Linked DNA regions of Saccharomyces cerevisiae S288C. The gene in region 1 interacts genetically with each later gene. Each region holds a gene or a part of one and is shown in the gene's direction. Other genes may lie near its edges. The genes, in order: NMD2, YVC1, PFU1 and SRM1.

Region 1 (7,235 bases):
CTAATGGGGCCGGTACCCGATGGATTTTACGATTACTTCACCAAGCGTTTTCCAAACCTATTAATAGGTGTTTATATGATTGTCAAGGAAAATTTAAGTGACGATCAAATTTTACGTGAATTTTTGTATTCATAACATGTTCATGCCCCTCTGCTTCTTCTTGGTTGATTATTGCATTAATGTTACTTTGATCATTAGTAGTAACCATCCATAATTTTTACGCCCTTGCATAAATGAAAAAAAGTTGTACTTCTTCATGAACCTATACTACTTTTCTCATCCCTACATAAACTACCCGACAGACATTTAATTTTATAAATACATATCTCATAAACATCGAACATCGACATACTACTCCAGTTATTCAACACTGACTTTTTTGGTGGAAAGCTTTCGTTCTGCAATTCTTATGCAAATAAAGGTAAACACACATGCAAAAGCGTAGACTTCATCAAACCAAGAATCTATGACAATGTTTGGGACGGTAAACTTTCCACCCAATAGCTCCTTTAATCTTTGTGATACTTCAAAAGGGAGATGGGACCTAACCATTAGCGTTGTAGCCAAAACGTAGACGCCAGTCAACTCTGACACCACCAGATTTTTTATCAAAGATATTCCTTTTTGTTCCTGAGAATAGTTTCTCTTTTTTCCCTTATAGGAAGAGTTATTGGTGTACTCTGGAAGTACATTAGCAGTGTCATCATTCTGCATGGCGAAAAGTGCAAGAATCTGGAACTTTATGGGCAAAAGGGTCACAACGTAGGAGATGGTGGTATTGACAGCAGAAAGACAGCAAAGAAAGAGAGAAATTGACAAAAATAACGATATCTGTTTTGTTAACGAATCGAGATCGTGCTGGTAATTGAACCTGAAAAACGAAAAATCCAAAATATTTGCTATCGTAATGGCTAAAGGATCGGATGCTGCATTTTCACTAAAATTTTCATAATCGTAGTCATCTGGATATTTGAGCGAGTGGTATATGATATAGGGGATTCTTTTCAGGAAAGTTATTATTAGTTTATGAAGACAGTATATGATAAACCCGACTTCAAAAGCTTTCTTAAAAGTGCGTACCTGAGGGGACTGTTGTAATAATGCTTCCAATTTCCCAAGCTCCAGTTGATACCAGGCGATTTTTTCCATCAACTCTGCTTTAAAAGTTGAGTTTTCTCCGACCTCTTCTTCTAAACTTCTTAATATTTGTACATTTTGTTCAATGTTGTGTTCATAATCTTGGATTTTTTCCTCTATATAGGCGTCTGTTGTCCATAAGAGAGATTTACTGTTATTGTTGCTGTTGTTGATGTTTCTAAAACTGGGGTCTGACATTGGTGTATTACGAAACTTGTGCCAGATGACTAAAAAGTTGTAGTATAAACTAGAAACAGTGGCTAACCCAGATAGGGAAGCCATGACTGTGACGCCTCCGATGGACAATCTAGTTAGAATATTTTTTGTGTACTGGAACGGTCCAATATTTATGTAACTTAACAGCGCAATAAGTGTGGACAAGATTATGCATGTCACTATTATCAACCTATCGATATCGAACTTGTCATTGTAGAATTTATTCAGTAACGATATTATAATGAAAAAGGGCTGAAATAAAATTAGTATGAAGGATAGCATGATTGCAGTCAGAGGCCACACCCAAGTCGTTATGAAAGTAACTTCCTTGTCCATTCCAGCAACCTTAATCTGCCATAGAATAATCTCTATGGTTACTGTATACGTCATCATTGCTAATGAAAAAAGGACTCGCAGTGATTGCAGTACCTTATGTGAGGGTAAAGAATACTCTGTGTAGAATTTATTTATGAAATTACCCATACTAGACACATCCTCATTCGAGCCAACTTCCATTTTGCTTGCCAACGGAATGACATTTTTCTTCGAGGAAGTTGATATAATGTCAAACAAAGACCCTACTTTAAACCAGAGCCTTTCATAGGAGCATTTGTAAGCAAATGCTCCGGATACGGAAAGCACTATAAATACGATAAGTGCCTCCATCCCGTCCACCACTTAGTCTACACTCAATAGTCCTTTCTAGTGCAGGTCCTGGAGGCAACCGCCAGAGTTGAGATCTTTTCCTTTTCTTTCCCTGCTGGTCAATTTTTATTGTTCAGGACTCGGTCATCGCAGATATCGCAATTTTTCACTCGTTTGAGTCTAGACTGTAAAATAAAACCGAATGGTTAAGCTAAAATAGACTCTGTATGACTAAGTCGTTCACTAAAGTTCATTATTTCATGCCTGAATGACCTTTATCTTAATTATGCACCATCATATAGCGTTTCTATGATCACTACGGGATATTATGATATTGTTAGGGGGTTATATTGAATATTTCTTAGGGCATGAGGATGATATTAGGGTTATTAATAGGTTTACAATTATATAATTTATGTGATAATTATCACTTGATACGAATTGATGGAGCCTGCTTCTTTTTTTTTTTTTCACTTTCTTGGCAGTCACTGAAAAACTGCATTCGAATACAGGTTTGAGAAACTAATGAGGCCCATATTACTTTACAATGAACAGTAACAATCAACTTAAATGCTTAAATAATCTAATATTGTATCTGCATTGATAATACATTGGACAGAAATTATGGACGTATGTTTGATTTATCTTACTGTGGCCAGATCGGCCTTTCAGTACTTCTAAGGTTTTATACTAACTTCTTTTATTGATCGTTGTAAACTACGGTAACAATTATGTATCAACAGGATGGACGGAAAAAAGAATTGCATGATTTGAACACCCGAGCTTGGAATGGCGAAGAAGTCTTTCCCCTGAAAAGTAAAAAACTGGATTCCAGTATAAAGAGAAACACTGGCTTTATAAAAAAACTAAAGAAGGGTTTTGTGAAAGGTTCAGAATCTTCATTATTGAAAGATTTAAGTGAGGCGTCCTTGGAAAAGTACCTATCAGAGATAATAGTGACGGTAACAGAATGTCTGCTAAATGTTTTGAATAAAAATGATGACGTAATTGCCGCTGTTGAGATCATAAGTGGACTTCATCAAAGGTTCAATGGCCGATTTACTAGTCCGCTTTTAGGAGCTTTTTTACAAGCTTTTGAGAACCCCTCTGTTGACATTGAATCCGAAAGAGATGAGCTTCAAAGGATAACCAGAGTTAAAGGTAATCTTCGGGTATTTACCGAGCTTTATTTAGTTGGAGTTTTTAGAACATTGGATGATATTGAGTCGAAAGATGCTATTCCAAACTTCCTACAGAAGAAAACTGGGCGAAAGGATCCGTTGTTATTCAGTATTCTCAGAGAGATTCTTAATTATAAGTTCAAATTGGGCTTTACTACCACTATTGCGACCGCATTTATTAAGAAATTTGCACCTTTGTTTCGCGACGATGATAATTCTTGGGATGATTTAATATATGACTCGAAGTTAAAAGGTGCGTTACAGTCTCTGTTTAAGAATTTTATAGACGCCACTTTTGCGAGGGCCACAGAACTGCATAAGAAGGTCAATAAACTGCAAAGAGAACATCAGAAATGCCAAATAAGAACGGGAAAATTGAGAGATGAGTACGTAGAGGAGTACGACAAGTTACTTCCAATATTCATTAGGTTCAAGACATCTGCAATTACTTTGGGAGAATTTTTTAAGTTAGAAATTCCGGAGCTTGAAGGTGCCTCTAATGATGATCTGAAAGAAACAGCTTCTCCAATGATCACGAATCAGATATTGCCACCCAACCAACGATTATGGGAAAATGAAGATACAAGGAAATTTTATGAAATCTTACCAGATATCTCAAAAACAGTAGAAGAATCACAATCTTCTAAAACAGAAAAAGATTCAAACGTTAACTCAAAAAATATCAATCTATTCTTTACGGATTTGGAAATGGCAGATTGTAAAGATATAATCGATGACCTTTCAAATAGATATTGGTCATCATATTTGGACAACAAAGCCACAAGAAATCGAATATTGAAATTTTTCATGGAAACACAAGATTGGAGCAAACTGCCAGTGTATTCCAGATTTATTGCAACAAATAGCAAATATATGCCGGAAATTGTTTCTGAGTTTATTAACTACCTAGACAATGGCTTCAGGAGTCAATTACATTCTAATAAGATTAACGTTAAAAACATCATCTTCTTCAGTGAAATGATTAAATTTCAATTAATACCATCGTTTATGATTTTTCATAAGATTAGAACATTAATCATGTATATGCAAGTTCCAAATAACGTAGAAATTTTGACGGTTTTGTTGGAGCACTCAGGGAAATTTCTGCTAAATAAGCCAGAATATAAGGAATTAATGGAAAAAATGGTCCAACTAATCAAGGATAAAAAAAATGATAGGCAATTGAACATGAACATGAAAAGCGCCTTAGAAAACATAATTACTTTACTTTATCCCCCTTCTGTAAAATCATTAAATGTTACGGTAAAAACAATAACGCCTGAACAACAGTTTTATCGCATATTAATTAGAAGTGAACTAAGTAGCCTAGACTTCAAACACATTGTCAAGTTGGTTCGGAAAGCTCACTGGGACGATGTAGCTATTCAGAAAGTGCTGTTTTCTCTGTTTTCAAAACCACATAAGATTAGCTATCAAAATATTCCCTTATTAACAAAAGTTCTAGGCGGTCTATACAGTTACCGCCGCGATTTCGTCATCAGATGTATAGACCAAGTACTGGAAAACATTGAGCGAGGCTTAGAAATTAACGATTATGGACAAAACATGCATAGAATATCAAATGTCAGATACTTAACTGAAATATTCAACTTTGAAATGATAAAATCCGATGTTTTGTTAGATACTATCTACCACATTATTCGGTTTGGTCATATCAACAATCAACCCAATCCATTTTATTTAAACTACTCAGATCCACCGGATAATTATTTCAGGATTCAACTAGTCACTACAATTCTGTTAAATATCAACAGGACCCCTGCAGCTTTTACTAAGAAATGCAAACTTTTGCTGAGGTTTTTCGAGTATTATACTTTTATTAAAGAACAACCTTTACCCAAGGAAACAGAATTCAGAGTTTCAAGCACATTTAAAAAATATGAGAATATTTTCGGAAACACTAAATTTGAAAGGTCAGAAAATTTGGTAGAAAGTGCCTCAAGGTTGGAAAGTTTACTGAAATCATTAAACGCAATAAAAAGTAAAGACGACAGAGTGAAGGGATCTTCTGCAAGCATTCACAACGGTAAGGAGAGTGCTGTTCCTATCGAGTCAATCACCGAAGATGATGAGGATGAAGATGATGAAAACGACGATGGTGTCGATTTACTAGGAGAAGATGAAGACGCGGAGATAAGTACACCGAACACAGAGTCAGCGCCAGGAAAACATCAGGCAAAGCAAGACGAAAGTGAAGATGAAGACGATGAGGACGATGACGAGGATGATGACGATGACGATGACGATGATGATGATGATGGAGAAGAAGGCGATGAGGATGATGATGAAGATGATGATGATGAGGATGATGATGATGAAGAAGAAGAAGACAGCGACTCTGATTTGGAGTATGGTGGTGATCTTGACGCAGACAGAGATATTGAAATGAAACGAATGTATGAAGAGTACGAGAGAAAACTAAAGGATGAGGAAGAAAGGAAAGCGGAAGAAGAATTGGAAAGGCAATTTCAGAAAATGATGCAAGAATCCATAGACGCAAGGAAAAGCGAAAAGGTTGTTGCCAGTAAAATTCCAGTAATTTCGAAGCCAGTCAGCGTTCAAAAACCTTTATTATTAAAAAAGAGTGAAGAACCTTCTTCAAGCAAGGAGACCTACGAAGAGTTATCCAAGCCAAAGAAGATTGCATTTACGTTCTTGACTAAAAGCGGTAAGAAGACACAATCAAGAATTTTACAATTACCAACGGATGTGAAATTTGTCTCTGATGTCCTTGAAGAAGAAGAGAAACTAAAAACCGAGCGAAACAAGATTAAAAAGATTGTTTTAAAACGTTCTTTCGACTGAGATTCTTTTGCGAATATAGTTCTTTAAATTTTTACTATATATGCCCACTTATGTTTGGCTCTATTAAATGGCTACGTGTTTATATAGTACCGTTTATGACGCTGTATTTTTATTTACACTGCTTTCCAGGAGATTAAAGAGCGGAGTGTTAGTCAACTCTCACGACAACAACAGTTATATCGTCTTCTTTACCACCGCTGTAGTTTTTGCCAGTTAGCTTAGAAATCTCTTGCGCAAAAACACTGGGGTAATTGGGGTCCTTGCTTAAACTGACAACATTGTCCACAAACTTCTGGGATAATAGCTGTAACTCATCGTTTGTTCTCGCAGCGTTATCCTTCAGAAAAAGCTCAATATCATCTGTGGCAATATTATCGGTTACACCATCGGTAGCCAATATAATAATATCCTTTTTTTTCAATTGGAAGCTATATTCATCAGCGTCTCTGGGGGTGTTTAAAATATACTTGCTACCCCTTCTTTCGGCCTCTTTCAACATTTCTTCTGGAATGATTGACAATTGGTAAGGAGCATTAAATCCAACAGTTTGAAACTTTGTCTGGAATACAAGTTTAGAATCTCTGAAGACTCCACACCAAGAATCACCCAAGTTGGCAACTTCCAATTTTCCATTAGATGGGAAGTGAGCCACAATGGCTGTTGTCCCACCAACCTTCACTACTTTCTCATCCCTAATTTTTGCGTATGCAGCACCAATAATTTTCTTTGGCGTTAAAAGCGTTTCTTTGGATGAATTTTCTGCTAAAGCAGTGCTTATTTCGTCCATTTTTTTACACAATTCTCTTGAGATGGCGCTGGAGTCATACCCATGCTCAGCCCATCCTCCAACACCGTCTGCGACACCGGCAAAAATATCGTGAACGTTGTTTGATGTAACAAAATAGTTGTCTTCTCCTGTAGGTGATCTAATAGAATCCTTTAGTTTTTGGTATATCAGATCGTCTCTGTCTTTTGGTTGGAAAGCTACCGCGGTTTTATAGGTGAACGGGCCTGATTGGCTACCTGAACTATACGCATCACCATGACTGTTGTTCGATTGATACCCACTCTTGGCACTTGAGTAAAAAGTCCTCTTGGAAAAGCTGATGATTTGACTGCAGGATCCTATGATATGAGAAAAGTTAGTCTCTGAGTCGATTAGCATTTGTCCCGCAAATTTAGCAATTAGCACACCAATGAATAAAACAATAAACATACCATAAAGGGGAC
Region 2 (6,137 bases), on another chromosome or scaffold:
TCTCTTCTAAAGTTGGGAAGAATCTTAAATCAAAAGTCAATTCCCCAACCGGTTTAGAGTTTCTTAAAAACTGAGCTTTCAAGTTTCTTTGCGTGGTTTTATCATGTAAAGTATTCAAGTTGTACTGAATTCTGCCTAGGACTTTATCCTTCAATTTTGCACGCTTATCATAAACACTAATGGTCAAGGGGTCAGTGAATGAGTTTAACAAGACGTACAGAGTTTCGTCCCAAACGGGGTTCAATGTGTCTCTTACGGTTCTTGTCTTGGCAATAGATATATCGTTAAATTCGAAAGATAAGTAAGGGTCGATTGATTCGTTCAATATCGAAGAGGTACGTTTTAGCCCCTTTGCATTTTTGACAGTTATTTCTAATATACCAATGGACAAGTTGGAACCAGATAAGAGTTGTGGAATGTTCAATTGTAAAGAAAATGGAGGTAACAAGATTGGACCCATATATTTCTTGGCCATCTTTTGTATTAGTGTCATAAGGCCTGGGATAGCTAAAATTTCCCAATTGAAGATGGAACGGCCGAATAAGGTAGCAACAAAATCAAAATCAGGAACCTTCAGTAGCTGGATATTAACAGTTTCGACATGAGGGAAGGGAGTCATCAATTTGAATTTCACTCTAGCATGAGCCTTGAAAGCAATGTCTGACACAGAAACAGGGATGGTGATACCAAAAATTTTGGCCTTAACAACCGCTAATTCATTAACGTAATTTCTGACTTGCTTAGCACTCATGTCGCATAAATCGTGAGGAGTAAAAGAAATACCCCAGTCCATCACAACAACATCGGATGCAGTGTTTTGGAAAGTCTTCACCAAATCAACTCTGGGGGGTTTAACACCAAGTGTCAACTCATCGATCCATAGTTGAGTAATAAATTTGGGAATCGCCTCATTAGTAGCCATTTGTTCATTAGCTTGCTGAACGATTAATTGACTAACGGAAGGTTCTAAAATGGGCCAGTACTTATCCAAAAAGGCATTCAACCATTCTAGGGATTCATAGTCGTTTTCCACTTTCTGCACCGTGAACTCTTTCTGGACTAACTCTCTTATGGAACCTCTGTATTTTTTAGCAGAGGTTCTATACAACAATGAAGTGATAACGATGACAAAAAAGGCCGACCCCATTGAAAACTTATAATGACCAAGTGCAAATGATGCCACGCCTCCGATAAAGAAAATGGCTACCGAATGATACCAGTCACCGTAAAGGCTGTCCGGTATGATGTTATCTAAGAAGGTTTCTCTAGTCATATCCATCAATTCATCATCTAAAGTTAATTCGTCTTTGTCTTCCCAGCCACCAATCTGTTTCCAGCCGACATAAGAAGCTTCATGGATACTTCTCTTGAAGCTTTCATCACTAGCATGTGCCGCCTTCTCAGATGACACGCTTTTACTGGATTCGGTTTCCTCTTTCGTCTTTGGAGGTTCTAACTTATCTATCCCATTTATGTTAGCTACTTGGGCTGTTTCGGGCTTCTTTGGTGCTGTTACCCCAGTATCTTCTTTGGCCATATTGTATGTACCACGCAATTGAAGTTTTCAGAATGCACTAGCTATCTTTTTTTATCTTAGCTATTCTTCTTCAATTATCCTACTTATTCTTCAGCAAAAAAAAAATAATAAGCTAAGACAATGCTATACAAGTCAATTACCAGCCAGTAAGTCCAAATTGGAGTAGCCAATGCTATTAGTTGATAATTTTGACGGCCGATTATACTATTCCAATTGCAGCAACATCCCTGTCCCTTAGCTTTTTGAGGGGCCTTTTGTTATAATTTTTCATGCAGCATTCCGGTCGCCAAAGTTGTTATCACTTCTAACGTAAATCGTTTTCTCGTTATGTCCGCTATTTTAGAATGAGAATAATGGATAAAATTGGCCTAAAAAGGGAGCGAGTATAACGTTACTGAGATACAATTGTACATTTTGCCATGGAAATGAGCCAACTAGTCTAATGAGATTTTCAATGCTTTATTTCTTTTTTTAGTTTCTCATTTTATTGTTTCTCTAGTTATTAGTCCTTTGGTTATTTTTATGTCACCACCTCTTGTCACATGACCATTTTTGTTACTTGCTTGGTTTTACAATGATTTATACATTCTTGGGCCTCTCTTGACATATTTTTATCGTCATAATAAGTTCTTCATTCGTTCTCTAAAACAACAAAGTTAGACTCCATGGCCAAGTTGGTTAAGGCGTGCGACTGTTAATCGCAAGATCGTGAGTTCAACCCTCACTGGGGTCGTTAATTTTTTAATTTTTCTCCTACACTGTTGCTATGTCGGAGTTATCTCATAAGAGCTGAAAATATGTGGTAAATTTAGTCAGTATCCTTCGAGGATCAGCTAGAGCCTATTCAATGCAATTGTCATTAATCAGTGGCTTGGTAAGGCAATAGAATTCAGTTATAAAATATAATATTACTAGAACAGGAGCATTATGGTATCAGCCAACGGCGACTTGCACTTGCCAATTTCTAACGAACAGTGCATGCCGGAAAACAATGGATCTCTTGGATTTGAGGCCCCCACTCCGAGACAGATTCTCAGGGTTACGTTAAATTTGAAATACTTAATTGATAAGGTCGTACCTATTGTTTACGATCCCAATGATATTGTTTGTGACCATTCTGAGATTTTATCTCCAAAAGTTGTGAAGCTGGCTTATGAAGCATGTGGCGGGAACCCTAAAGACAAGGCCAACAAAAGAAAATATCAATCTGTCATTATTTTTTCACTTCTTAAAGTTTGTGAGTGGTATTCCATATTGGCCACTATGGAAGTGCACAATGCCAAACTTTACGAAACCAGAAATTTAGCCTCACAACAGTTATGTAAATTGTTAATTGAAAGGGAGGAGACAAGAGACCTGCAGTTTCTTTTCATGCAGTTACTGCTGCGTCGGTACGTAATCAACGAGAACGATGAAGATCAAGAACCGTTGAATGCCTTGGAACTTGCCACAGATATGCACTGTACTACAGTGATAGGATCGAGTGGATTTCAGCGTTGTTTAAAATGGATATGGAGAGGATGGATAGTCCAAAATGGCTTGGATCCCACAACTTTTATCAAGGACGATTCACTGGCGGAAGTGTCATTGATCTCTCATTTCAACCCCGTAAGATTAAAGGCGCCTGTATACCAAAATTATTTGCAGATGATCTTCTCATTTTTGTTTCTAGGGCTTTATACCTTGGTGGTTAATGGTAAGGACTCTGAGAGAGTCCAATCTTTCGATTTGTTAGAAAGCATATTTTATGTTTTCAATACTGGTTTCATCTTGGATGAGCTCACTAAGCTTTATTATATTGGTTATGCGCACCTATCGTTTTGGAATTTATTTAATGATACCACATATTTGATAATCACGTTTGCTATGGGGTTCCGTGCAATGAGCGTAACGCCCCTTAATGCAAAATACTCTTCAGAAGATTGGGATAAAATATCATATAGAGTCTTATCCTGTGCAGCACCATTTGTGTGGTCGAGACTCCTACTATACCTTGAATCACAAAGGTTTATTGGGATTATGTTGGTTATCCTAAAACATATGATGAAAGAATCCATTGTATTTTTCTTCCTTCTATTCTTAATAATGATAGGATTCACTCAAGGTTTCTTAGGTTTGGATTCCGCAGATGGTAAGAGAGATATCACCGGACCCATCCTGGGTAATTTAACAATCACCGTTTTGGGTCTTGGTAGTTTTGATGTTTTCGAAGAATTCGCTCCCCCATATGCGGCAATACTGTATTATGGTTACTATTTTATTGTTTCGGTTATCCTTTTGAATATATTAATTGCTTTGTATTCGACTGCGTACCAAAAAGTTATTGACAATGCAGATGACGAGTACATGGCTTTGATGTCACAAAAGACGTTGAGATACATTAGAGCACCTGATGAAGATGTCTATGTTTCTCCATTGAACTTAATTGAAGTGTTCATGACACCTATCTTTCGTATTCTTCCACCGAAGCGTGCTAAAGATTTGAGCTATACTGTAATGACAATAGTGTACAGCCCATTTTTGTTGCTTATTTCTGTTAAAGAAACTCGGGAGGCTAGAAGGATAAAATATAACAGGATGAAAAGGTTAAACGATGATGCCAATGAATATGATACTCCATGGGATTTGACAGATGGCTACTTGGATGATGATGACGGTTTGTTTTCTGATAACCGAAATTCTGGCATGAGAGCCACCCAGTTAAAGAATTCCCGTTCGCTAAAACTGCAAAGAACAGCAGAGCAGGAAGATGTCCATTTTAAAGTCCCTAAGAAGTGGTATAAAAACGTTAAAAAATGCAGTCCCTCCTTCGAACAGTATGATAACGATGACACTGAAGATGATGCTGGTGAAGATAAAGATGAAGTCAAAGAGCTCACTAAGAAAGTGGAAAACTTGACAGCTGTAATTACCGATCTACTCGAAAAATTAGACATAAAGGATAAGAAAGAGTAAACGACATGTGTTCAAATACTGCTTAATTAATTTCTCAGAAATCCATATATATATATATATATTGCTCCTCATTGCAACTTTGTAAATTTAATGTTCCTTTAATTTATCATTATTTACAATATTAACTAATCCATCTCCCGATTTTCGGCATAAAATAAGTTTATATTTTGGTCTACATGAAAACAAAAGTTTAACTAAACTAACGTGTACAAACCACTTTGAAACGTATATAAAGGTCTAATAAAAACGACTGGCGTTTTGAAAGATAATATAATGATCTAATGCAGTTAAAAAATTTACAAATTATAAGAAGAAAAGAAAAACAACGATTACGGTAAAAAATGAAAACTCCCTCTCCTTTCTAGGTACGATAAATTATGACTTTCATCTTTCCCGTTTTGAAGATCTATTTATCTCAATTTGCCCAGACTTTTTTTTTATATATATTTATTTTCCCCTCTCTAACAACTGCAAGCACTGTTTGCGCTGGTCCCATCATTAGCAGCGTTCAAATCCACTCTTTGATTGTTCGACTCACGTTCGTTACTTGCACTATTTTGCTCTTCAGCCGTCTTCAGTGGTATCTTTTCACCGATTCCCAAAAATACATCGTTAACATTCTCTCCTGTCTTTGCACTTGTTTCAAAGAACAACAAGCCCTTTTCTTCCGCTAGCTTTTCACCTTCTTCCCTTGCGACTTTTCTTTCCCCACCTTCTTGCAGCATATCGATCTTGTTACCAACTAACGCAATGATGATATCCTTTGATGCCTGTTCATGTAATTCCTTAACCCAGTGGCGCGCTTTAATAAAGGATTGTGGTTTTGTAACGTCGTATACTACAAGAGCAGCTTGTGCGTTTCTATAGTACATAGGTGCTAAAGATGCAAATCTCTCTTGCCCAGCAGTGTCCCATATTTCAAACTTAACAGTATGTTCATTTATAGTAACTCTTTGAGTGAGGAATGCTGCACCAATGGTGGGCTCCTTATTTTCGGCAAAATCATTAGATACAAACCTTAGGACTATTGACGATTTACCAACTGCTGCCTCACCCAACAGTACCAACTTTATGGAAGTGACTGATGTGTTCATTTTTTTGTGTGATAAAAGGGATATTTTTTTATAGCTTAGATAAGTCGACGATCTTGCTTTTTATTTTTAAAATCGTTGCCACTTTTATAAGATAAGCTGCTCGTATTTTCACCTCACTTCTCTTTCTTTGTCTTTTCGGGGATATTGTTTTAGCAAAAAGCCCCATAATGCAAACCGAGAAAACCAAAAAAAAAAAAAACACGTATGAGGTGACAAGAAACTAGATAATCAGCAGACTAATATCTATAAAATAAATCCTCTGGTATATACCTACCTCAGCATAAGTTTATATCGTCATAATCTAGGTTTTGGCTTTGTTGTTGCCTCCGGGTTCATAACTATTGAAGTAGCATTGGAGACAATTGAGGGTGTTCCAGAATCACCAAAGAACGCCACTGTTACTGTCAAGTCATCTCTGTATCTTCTACTCATCGGCGATGGTATACTTACCAATGCCGATACATATTCTTTTCTTCCGCCCGCACTTAATGCATTTCTAATTAAATGAGTGGCGACGTTTTTGTCTTCAATAAGATACTCTGGGTTTGATC
Region 3 (5,437 bases), on another chromosome or scaffold:
AAACCAAACTGGAGAGTCTGTGTCTAACGTAATTGGCCATTTTTCCACGGCGAACGCATCTTCAAAAGTGACCTTATTTTTACCGTATTTAATATAGTAATTGTACTTGTATTGTTTGAAAATATATTCTTTGAAAAGATAAAGAAATTGTGACCAAGATAAGGTATGATTGAATTCTGCTGAAGAACTTATTTTGCCGATATAATATTCTATCATTGGGACTTGGAAATCGACTGGTAGTTGTACTGAGTCTATTAGAAAAGTGGTTCTTGGTATTACTGGGTACTCCATACATAGGACTTCTTGCTCAAAGCGGCCCCATTCAGGTAACCGAAGATCATGGCCCAATAGCCCACATCTCTGGCCGTTATTGTAAAAGCGTATCTCTGATTGAAGCGGTTTAATGTATTTATCATCTGCGTTATCCTTTTTATCATTGTTGATTTCATCTTTAATCAGGAGAACATCCCATCTCTCATCCATTCCTCCTTCGTAGTTTGAATCTTTCGTGCATGAAATTTGAAAGTCATAGTCCTGCTCGCTGATGGGAGGTTTAGCAGTGCTGGCTCTCAATAATTTTCCAGTAGATTTGTGTCTTAGTTTTATACTTTGACCAAATTCTACAGGTATCAATTGATCAGCATGGTATACCTCAGAAAAACTCAAATTTAATGTAGGATGTTCTATTAACCATTCATTGTCTGCCGCGAATTCTTCAAATGATAACGCTACTAACTGTTCGTCAACATCTGATGGATACGAAATATCGTGAGAAGCAAGATATCCGACCATAGAATCTAAATGACGTAATGTGATCGTTGATCCATAGTACAATCGACTCGGTTGTACTTGAGGGCCTCTTAAATAGGACTTGAAATATGTGCTCATATATTTTGAAAATTGTGGCGTGTCTGTCTTAAAATTCGAAAGTAAGTTCGAATAACTTATTATGAAGATGGAACCAGGGATAATCAAAACGAATAATAGACAGAGAATGACAAATTTTATTATTTGGATGGTCGTAACTTTAACGTCGCTTATCAGTCTATCAAATTGACGTACAAAAGAAAGAATTACGAAGGCCCAAGTGACAATTCCAATAAATTTAGAAGAGATTGCCAGCCCTAAAGAAATAGATAATGTAATCACATTAGCAAACCAATTCGTAGTTCCCAGTTTTGCAATTGAAATGCTTATAAAACTGTAAATTACTACTGAGAACAGACACCATTCTAAACTGTCAAATGATATAATAGTGCCCTCATTTCTGAAAGTTTCCCAGTTGGATAATATCAGCAAACCTGTTGCTGAAATTAAACGAGAGCAATTGATTCTCCTTGTTATCAGGAAAAGAAAACCTAAAGTCGATGAATTCAAAAACAAAGAAACGTATCTTAAATTTTCTGCGATCTTTAATCTTCGAATAATGGAGTAGAACTGTATTGTAAATGGTGGCAATTCATGGATGTAAAAAGCCTTGTCTAGGTAAAACTGAATTAATTGGGAAAGTTCTTGTTCACTATTATTGTCCCATGGTCGGTTCCAGAATGAAGAAGAGTGCGATTTCCATATTAATGTGAAATTGGTAATAACAATCAAAAACGCGAAAATATAATCAAGCGTCTTTAAGTGACCAATTCCACATTGTTGGAAAATATTATAGGGAATGTACTTTCTGTAGGGCCCCTGTAATCTCAAGTCCTTCATGTTTTGTAAGTTAATTTTTTTCTGTTCAAACACTATCGCCCTTAAGTGTCTACGTTCTTATTCTCCTTAAATAATAACATTTTTAGTATTCGATTTTCTATTTTTCCTTTCTTCATTACTTCATTACCAAAGTAAGAGTGACCGATGTAGGAAGCAATATTGAAAGGAAGGGAAGGGGAGCACAATGAAACAAAGGGTTAGTGTGATGAAAACGACAGGAAGTAACTATAAGAAGCAGTAAAGTTGAGACTTGCTGCACCATTTTTATTGCCACACCTTTATTAGTTCTTTATGAATCCTAAGCTGTCATCCGTAATATTGTTCCAATAGTGTAGCGGCTATCACGTTGCCTTCACACGGCAAAGGTCCCGAGTTCGATCCTCGGTTGGAACATTTGTTTTTTCACTACTACTATATTTTTAGTTGAATCCTAGGCCACATTTAATTGACTAATAGACTTAAGATCGAGATTAGTAATCTTCTGACTTTTTTCTACTGTGTAATTGTTGAATGATAGTCTCTATTTTATTGTTAAAGCCCTGCGGCCGGGTTACCTCTTCATGAGGGGTAAGGGTTGTCAATACAAGATGTGTCTAGTATTGAGAGTAATATGACGGCATCGTCAAGATTTGTACATCGACAAACATGTGCAACAGCTCTAACACATAATCATATCAACCACAGTACTCAGTAATGGCAAACAAATCACGACCCAAGAAAATCAAGGCTCCTTACAGGAAGTACGTGGCGGGAGAGGGTTTCTCCTCTACAAGAAATGATAATAAGGCTAAAGAATTCACTATCACTATACCGGAGGATGCAGAACTCATTGAGACTCCACAGGGGTCTTATTACTATGATGAAACCAATGATACTATAGTGAAATTGACACGACTGAGTAATGAAAAAAAGGATAAAAAAGGACGTAAGCAGTCGCCATCGTCATCATCGACATCGTCCTCCAAAGGAGAAAAAAATGGCAAAGTCATAGAGAGTGAGGAAGCGAGGATGCATTCAGTATCAGTAAAGATGGTTTTGCCATGGGAGATACAGCATAGAATAATTCATTATCTTGATATACCAGAGAAAGAAGAAAAATTAAATAAAACTGCTAATGGAAAAAAAACTACGACTGGTATAAATATGAACTACTTACTAGTTTGCAGAAACTGGTACGCCATGTGTCTACCAAAGCTTTATTATGCACCAGCGTTAACAAGTAAGAATTTCAACGGGTTTGTTGATACAATAATCATAAATAAAAAGAAGAATTTAGGACACTATGTTTTTGAGTTGAACTTGTCTACAATTTTACAAAGTGGTAGAAATTCATTTGTCTCCAAGCTTTTACGACGATGCTGTTCTAACCTAACTAAATTCATCGCACCACAGACAAGCTTTGGTTACGCGCCTTTGATTTCATTGAAATCGTGTCATGATTTGAAATTTTTAGACTTGGGTTTAGTATCGGAAACAGTTAAGCTGAAGGAGTTATTTTCTGCCATTAAAAATTTCACTAAATTAACGCATTTATCTTTTCCCAGATCGTCGATTGACTGCCAAGGGTTCCAAGATATTCAATGGCCACAGAATCTCAGGTACTTGAAATTGAGTGGAGGTATAACAAATGAATTTGTGATTGATACGAAATGGCCAACAACTATTACAACTTTAGAATTCTCTTATTGTCCTCAAATAACGGAATTGTCTATTTATTCGTTGTTATCACAGATCGGTGATAATTTAAAGCATTTATTTTTTCATTATCCGATGCCATCTCTGGCAGAAAATTCCCTAGACCATGTCTTCACGTACTGTGCTAATTTAATTTCTTTGCAGCTCATGGTTGATTACTGTTCTAAGTGGTGCTTTTCTGAATTCATGCTAAGTAAATTGGTGGAATATGATAGGCCTCTTAAAACATTGTACTTAGAATGCAGCGGATCCTTGGGATTAGCTTCTAAGATTCATCCCGATGACTTGACTATAGCCATACTGGAATCCAGGCTGCCCTGCCTAAAGAATATTTGTGTTTCTCCCAAGCTGGGGTGGAACATGAAAAGCGATGAAGTCGCTGATTTGGTAGTCTCTTTGGAAGATCAAGATGGCAGTTTATATCTTAATTATTAAAATGTTCATTGTTTGTTTTATAAGAGTCAGTGTTTTCTTTTAGACACTATTAGGAAGAATTATTTTATCCGGCCTAAAAAAAATATTTTACATGCAAACTTGCATATATTTTGCCATTGACACCAATTAGAATGTGTAATTTTCCTGGTTTATACGTTTCTCAAGATATGGTCGAATCTTCTTTTCTGCTCAATTGTAAGAAGCGAAGAAAAAAAGGAAGCTCCATTGATCTATCTTGGGCTCAGAATGATCTTAAGCAAAACAAAGAAACCTAAAAGCATGAATAAGCCAATATATTTCAGCAAGTTTCTTGTAACTGAACAAGTTTTCTATGTATGCACTCTCATATGTTTTTTTGTACCCCATTCGCACCATTGCGTTACTAACTATATGGAGACCTTATAATCTCTGCTTCTTTACAGAAGTCAAAATATACGTATGCATTGGTAAACTTGAAACCAATTGTACCCGGACATGTACTGATCGTTCCACTGAGAACTACGGTTTTAAACTTATCAGATCTGACCATGCCTGAATCTCAAGATTATTTCAAGACTTTACAGTTAATACATAGATTTATTAAGTGGCAATATAAGGCTGACTCTATCAACGTTGCCATCCAAGATGGACCTGAGGCCGGACAGTCGGTACCCCACTTGCATACACACATTATTCCACGTTATAAAATAAACAATGTAGGGGATTTAATATACGATAAATTAGATCATTGGGATGGTAATGGGACTTTGACTGATTGGCAAGGAAGAAGAGACGAATATTTGGGTGTTGGTGGTAGGCAAGCAAGAAAAAATAACTCTACATCGGCCACTGTAGACGGGGATGAACTCTCACAAGGTCCTAATGTCTTGAAGCCAGACAGTCAAAGGAAGGTTCGAGCTTTAACCGAAATGAAAAAAGAAGCTGAGGATCTTCAAGCCAGACTAGAAGAATTTGTATCTTCTGATCCTGGTTTAACACAATGGTTATAGTTCAATAAATAATAGATTCATACTTACGATATAAAAAATAGTAGGGAAGTTAATTTTCGTTTCGCAGCGAATCCCTTTTAGCAGAGGAAAAAAAAGATGAAACCATCCTTACTACTTTCCTCGAGGAGACTCAACAGTAAAGGTTACTTTCAATTCAATAAACAAAAGGCACAGCGATATCCGCAATTATGAAGCTTCAATTTTTTTCCTTTATTACCTTATTTGCTTGTCTCTTCACAACAGCCATTTTTGCGAAAGAGGACACGGCAGAAGATCCTGAGATCACACACAAGGTCTACTTTGACATTAATCACGGTGATAAACAAATTGGTAGAATTGTTATGGGATTGTATGGTCTCACCACACCCCAAACCGTTGAAAACTTTTACCAGTTGACCATTTCCAGGGACCCTAAGATGGGTTATTTGAACTCTATCTTCCATCGCGTTATTCCTAACTTCATGATTCAAGGTGGCGATTTCACTCACAGATCAGGTATTGGGGGTAAGTCTATCTTCGGAAACACGTTCAAAGATGAGAATTTTGATGTCAAACATGACAAACCAGGCAGATTGTCTATGGCCAATCGTGGTAAAAACACCAACGGATCC
Region 4 (5,239 bases), on another chromosome or scaffold:
GTCAACTCCCAGACCTTGAAATCCTCAAAATGAAGACGATAGTTTTACATAATAATATTACTTTTTCTTCTTTCCTTCTATATTTCTCCTTCACATTCATATTACGCTGACAATCTTTGCATTTCAGCTTCCACCAAGCCTGATCACCGTTTACCAATATTTGTGTCATTTTCTTATACCTCAGGTAATAATAAACTAGCAACCTGAATAATATCAAATAGACGATATGTTAAAGTTTCATTCTAACAATTACCACCCATTCCAAAATATCTATTGTTAGAGAGGCGTTAATAGAACAACACAACACAAAAATACTGAAGGTCAAAGTTTGTTGTATTACGGGCTCGAGTAATACCGGAGTGTCTTGACAATCCTAATATAAACGGTCTTAGGGAAGTAACCAGTTGTCAAAACAGTTTATCAGATTAATTCACGGAATGTTACTTATCTTATATATTATATAAAATATGAATCATATTAAGTGGTGGAAGCGCGGAATCTCGGATCTAAACTAATTGTTCAGGCATTTATACTTTTGGTAGTTCAGCTAGGGAAGGACGGGTTTTATCTCATGTTGTTCGTTTTGTTATAAGGTTGTTTCATATGTGTTTTATGAACGTTTAGGATGACGTATTGTCATACTGACATATCTCATTTTGAGATACAACAAAGTTCATAAAGAAATTAGCCATCTTAGTATAGTGGTTAGTACACATCGTTGTGGCCGATGAAACCCTGGTTCGATTCTAGGAGATGGCATTTTTTCCGAAATTTCGCCTTCTCGCACAACTTTCCAAACCCGACCAAGAGAAGGAAGAAATCATTTTTTTTGTTGCGAGTTGTCATAGAACGAGGTCGAGAAACAGAAGAGGAATTGAAAATGAATTGTAAAAGCGTTCGTTCTATGCCTCTAATAAGAGAGTACGTCTTGCTTGATGTGAACCCAAATGCCCACAAAACAGTACGATTTGCAGTTATGTAAATTTGTGGTTTGTCTCCTGGCAAAAAGAATGCATTCGTACTGCACATAATTGAAATAAGGATGTAGTTCAACTTCTATGAATGCTCGGCGATACGATATGTAGAGGGGACAAAAATATGTAGGTATCCTATGGTAAATAAATCGGTCTGTTTTAAAACCTGTTTTAGTGCAGCTTCTTTCCACGAAAGAAATAGTGTAAGTTAGAGGTACTTCTCTTTTACCTAAAGGAGGTGTAGTTATGATAAAAAGCGAAGCTAACTAAGACAGCTAAGCTCTTTATGTTGATAGTTAAAAGTTAACAGGTTGTATTAATGAAGAATGAATATGGATCTTTTTGTACTTATATAACAGAGGTATAAACCACATGCCGATTGTTTCATTATTATATATGGCTAATATAATGGTGATTCCGGCAGCTTCATACATTTAATGTGACGACTCATATTGCTCTTATATGTGACTTTCAGATCTCATTCAATTAATAGACTCTTAACTCAAATTCAGTACTTTCTGACATGCTCATTTACATTTCCTTTTGTAATAGTGCTTCCATACTTCATCGTATAGGATTTAAACATTTAGATCGTTACCATAGTAACTCATGTTACTATTAAATACCGCTCGTTTCAACACATTATATAATACTTTGGCATTGATACGCCACATAATATTCTAATTTCTCTTCAACACATAAGACAAACAGGGCAAATCAAGCAACAGGAAGGTATTTGCTTCTTAATGGCAAAACAGGTTCAGTTCCACTAAATAAAAAGGGGAAATTTACGTGTCATTTATTATGGGTTCAGAAATTATGTGTTAAGTAAAACACCTATAGCACTGGGGCAAATTCCGGCATCAATTTCAACGCCACCAAAATTGTGTGCGATAATAATTGTGACCCCATCATGGAAATGAGCCTTCAGCCAGAGACGGAAAAACTCTTGAAAGGAATACTGATGGATTTATAGGTTCGGAAAATAATAATAATAAAAAGCCGTGTTGGACATTATCCCTCCCGTTGCTCGCGGTAAATTCTTAAGGCCATATTTCAGGTAGGAACCATCGTCAACAATTGCTACAACGTTTTGTAGTCCCCAAGATTGAAATACAATAGCAGTTGAAAGAGAACTACCTAAGATAATTCAATGAGGCAATTACTGATTATTCCTGACAGAGTGTAAAATATTTGCAAGTAAGAGAATCGGAACAGAAAATTTAGATATTATGAGAGTCTTCCCTCGGCAGTAACGATATAAAGCCAATCTGTATTCCAGTGTCCTGCCATTCTGGTTCTTTAAAAACTCACTTCCAAGATAGTATAATCCGAGACTCTAAAGAAAAGGACACTTGCTTTTAATGGACAGAGGAACACCGCATACTCTAAAGTAGAGAGCACCGATATCAAGAGTTACATATATATATATATATATATTGTTTGCTTCCGACAGAGATAGCTATCTAGCAATTCCCTTCTTTTTCAATCGTTGGGCGGCTAAAAGTAGCAGGGTTTCGCGAGGACCTCTCGAAGGACAAACAATATTCATTACCCGCACAAATAAAATTTCAAAAAAACAAAAAAGCACGGGAGAGGCAAGGCAGGATGAATAAAATCACCGATCTCGAGAATATTAAAAGTCATCAAGACATCCTCTTTAAGTCAAATCCTGGATCCAGAAACTTAAAAAGTTGTCATATAAAAGTTTAAAATGGTCAAAAGAACAGTCGCCACCAATGGAGACGCGTCTGGCGCTCATAGAGCAAAGAAAATGTCTAAAACTCATGCTTCTCATATCATAAACGCTCAAGAAGACTACAAGCATATGTACTTAAGTGTCCAACCATTGGATATATTTTGCTGGGGTACTGGTTCTATGTGTGAGCTTGGGTTGGGTCCACTAGCCAAAAATAAGGAAGTTAAAAGACCAAGGTTAAACCCATTTTTACCTCGCGATGAGGCCAAGATCATTTCTTTTGCAGTCGGTGGTATGCACACCTTAGCCCTTGATGAAGAAAGCAATGTATGGTCCTGGGGTTGCAATGACGTGGGTGCGTTGGGCAGAGATACTTCCAACGCCAAGGAACAACTCAAGGACATGGACGCCGATGACTCAAGTGATGACGAAGATGGTGATTTGAACGAATTGGAATCTACGCCCGCTAAAATCCCAAGAGAGTCATTTCCTCCCTTAGCGGAGGGACACAAGGTCGTGCAATTGGCAGCTACAGACAATATGAGTTGCGCCCTGTTCAGCAATGGCGAGGTATACGCATGGGGTACTTTCCGTTGCAATGAAGGTATCCTAGGGTTTTACCAAGATAAAATTAAAATTCAAAAAACTCCATGGAAAGTGCCTACATTCTCTAAGTACAATATTGTCCAATTAGCTCCCGGTAAGGATCACATACTTTTCTTAGATGAAGAGGGTATGGTGTTCGCCTGGGGTAACGGTCAGCAAAACCAATTAGGAAGAAAAGTTATGGAAAGGTTCCGTTTAAAGACTTTGGATCCCAGACCATTTGGGTTAAGACATGTAAAATACATCGCATCTGGCGAAAACCATTGCTTTGCTTTAACAAAAGACAACAAGTTAGTAAGCTGGGGGTTGAATCAGTTTGGTCAATGTGGTGTTTCAGAGGATGTGGAAGACGGTGCGCTTGTTACAAAGCCAAAAAGACTAGCGCTACCTGATAACGTTGTTATCAGAAGCATTGCTGCTGGTGAACATCACTCATTGATCCTATCCCAAGATGGCGATTTGTATTCGTGTGGTAGACTAGACATGTTTGAAGTTGGTATCCCAAAAGACAATTTACCCGAATATACTTACAAAGATGTTCATGGAAAAGCACGTGCCGTGCCACTTCCAACTAAGTTGAATAATGTTCCGAAGTTCAAAAGCGTTGCGGCGGGGTCTCACCATTCAGTCGCGGTAGCTCAAAATGGCATTGCCTATTCTTGGGGTTTTGGTGAAACCTACGCCGTTGGATTAGGCCCTTTTGAGGACGACACTGAAGTTCCAACCAGAATCAAGAATACTGCTACACAGGATCATAACATCATTTTAGTCGGGTGTGGAGGCCAATTTTCCGTGTCTGGTGGTGTTAAGCTGTCTGATGAGGACGCAGAAAAGAGAGCGGATGAAATGGATGATTAAGGTAGTAGTACAAAGATAAATAAAAGAAAATCGACATAATGCACCTCAGTATAAATTGTAAAATATAACATAAATCAAAGAAAAACGAGAAAACGATATGATTATCCGATACCGACAAATTCTCATGTTTATTTTTTTTTTTTTTTTTTTTTTTTTTTAATTTTTCTTGGGCCTTTACATTGAGTACAGGGGCATAAGTGCGAGGAGTTACCAGACGACAACTAGCAGGCGGATGAAATCAACACTGAGTAAGTATTATGTAATCCATCCGCTCGTCCAGCCCTTCAGGTTCTTCCTCTTCTGCACGTTTCTCTAGTAATGAACTTTCTAAGGAATTTAATCGGATTTTTTGAGAAAAACGGAGAAAAATTAAAAATGTGCCAAGACACCAGCAACAGGCAAAGCAAAGGATAAACTTCCGGTGAACATGTTAGCACGGAAAAATTCATTGCTCTCTCTAACCGCGACAAATTACCTATCGTATTTTAACTTTCTTCAACAGCATTATGGAAAATGCATACCGGAGATTGCTCATACAGACCATAAAAACAACAGAAAGTCTTGTGAGGAAGATAAGCAAGCACGGTAGGTAAACCAGATATGCACATAAATTACCGCTGACTCTCCCCTAAAAGAACTATATTGATGGTCTGACATATAAGGCACCGCTGAAAAGCATGTACAATTTTAATGTCTTTGCATTTGCATAGTCAGTGTGGCGTGCATTCTCCACAGAATCTAACTAATCAAATGTATCGTGACTGGGTGTTGCATCATTTTCGCGAATAAAAAATAGAACACTGTAGAGTAGCGCAGCGCTTTTTTTTTATTGAGGCCCTTTGCAGAACCAAGGCTGCAGTCTTTTCTCTGAAGATTAGCTTTGCTAATATAAACAAATCCGTTAAGTTCTTGGGAATTTCTTTGAAGGGGGGGAGGCGGAAATGTAGTGAGTTGTTTTTACTGTGATTTGCTTTTTCTTTCGCTCATGGCTTATTTTCCTTTCCTTTTCTTCCCACATTCAATAATGCAGCGTAAATATAGAACAAGATTACTTGTTTATACGAGATATACGGGCAGTGAATAAAGTGGTACTAGAACTAAT

What was found.
Region 2: mutations in NMD2 (region 1) and YVC1 together harm fitness more than expected from each alone (negative genetic interaction), as found in Saccharomyces cerevisiae (2 studies listed by BioGRID).
Region 3: mutations in NMD2 (region 1) and PFU1 together harm fitness more than expected from each alone (negative genetic interaction), as found in Saccharomyces cerevisiae (2 studies listed by BioGRID).
Region 4: mutations in NMD2 (region 1) and SRM1 together harm fitness less than expected from each alone (positive genetic interaction), as found in Saccharomyces cerevisiae (2 studies listed by BioGRID).

What each region holds. Positions count from the first base shown.
Region 1 is NC_001140.6:251,144-258,378, reverse strand, and holds NMD2 (Nmd2p), read left to right. Parts: upstream 1-2,622; coding exon 2,623-2,628; intron 2,629-2,741; coding exon 2,742-6,005; downstream 6,006-7,235. Other genes in the region: bifunctional endoribonuclease/protein kinase IRE1, read left to right, coding at 1-135; YHR078W (uncharacterized protein), read right to left, coding at 361-2,019; type 2C protein phosphatase PTC7, read right to left, coding at 6,154-7,130, 7,224-7,235. UniProt on the Saccharomyces cerevisiae protein: Involved in nonsense-mediated decay of mRNAs containing premature stop codons. It interacts, via its C-terminus, with NAM7/UPF1.
Region 2 is NC_001147.6:485,243-491,379, forward strand, and holds YVC1 (Yvc1p), read left to right. Parts: upstream 1-2,464; coding exon 2,465-4,492; downstream 4,493-6,137. Other genes in the region: TCB1 (tricalbin), read right to left, coding at 1-1,537; Rab family GTPase VPS21, read right to left, coding at 4,954-5,586; type 2C protein phosphatase PTC5, read right to left, coding at 5,881-6,137. UniProt on the Saccharomyces cerevisiae protein: Required for release of calcium ions from the vacuole in response to hyperosmotic shock.
Region 3 is NC_001136.10:1,072,135-1,077,571, reverse strand, and holds PFU1 (Pfu1p), read left to right. Parts: upstream 1-2,400; coding exon 2,401-3,837; downstream 3,838-5,437. Other genes in the region: PMT7 (putative dolichyl-phosphate-mannose--protein mannosyltransferase), read right to left, coding at 1-1,707; HNT2 (bis(5'-adenosyl)-triphosphatase), read left to right, coding at 4,084-4,170, 4,260-4,826; peptidylprolyl isomerase family protein CPR5, read left to right, coding at 5,015-5,437. UniProt on the Saccharomyces cerevisiae protein: Substrate recognition component of a SCF (SKP1-CUL1-F-box protein) E3 ubiquitin-protein ligase complex which mediates the ubiquitination and subsequent proteasomal degradation of target proteins. Probably recognizes and binds to phosphorylated target proteins.
Region 4 is NC_001139.9:319,094-324,332, forward strand, and holds SRM1 (Ran guanyl-nucleotide exchange factor), read left to right. Parts: upstream 1-2,688; coding exon 2,689-4,137; downstream 4,138-5,239. UniProt on the Saccharomyces cerevisiae protein: Guanine nucleotide exchange factor that promotes the exchange of GSP1/GSP2-bound GDP by GTP and controls RNA metabolism and transport. Involved in yeast pheromone response pathway and in mRNA metabolism.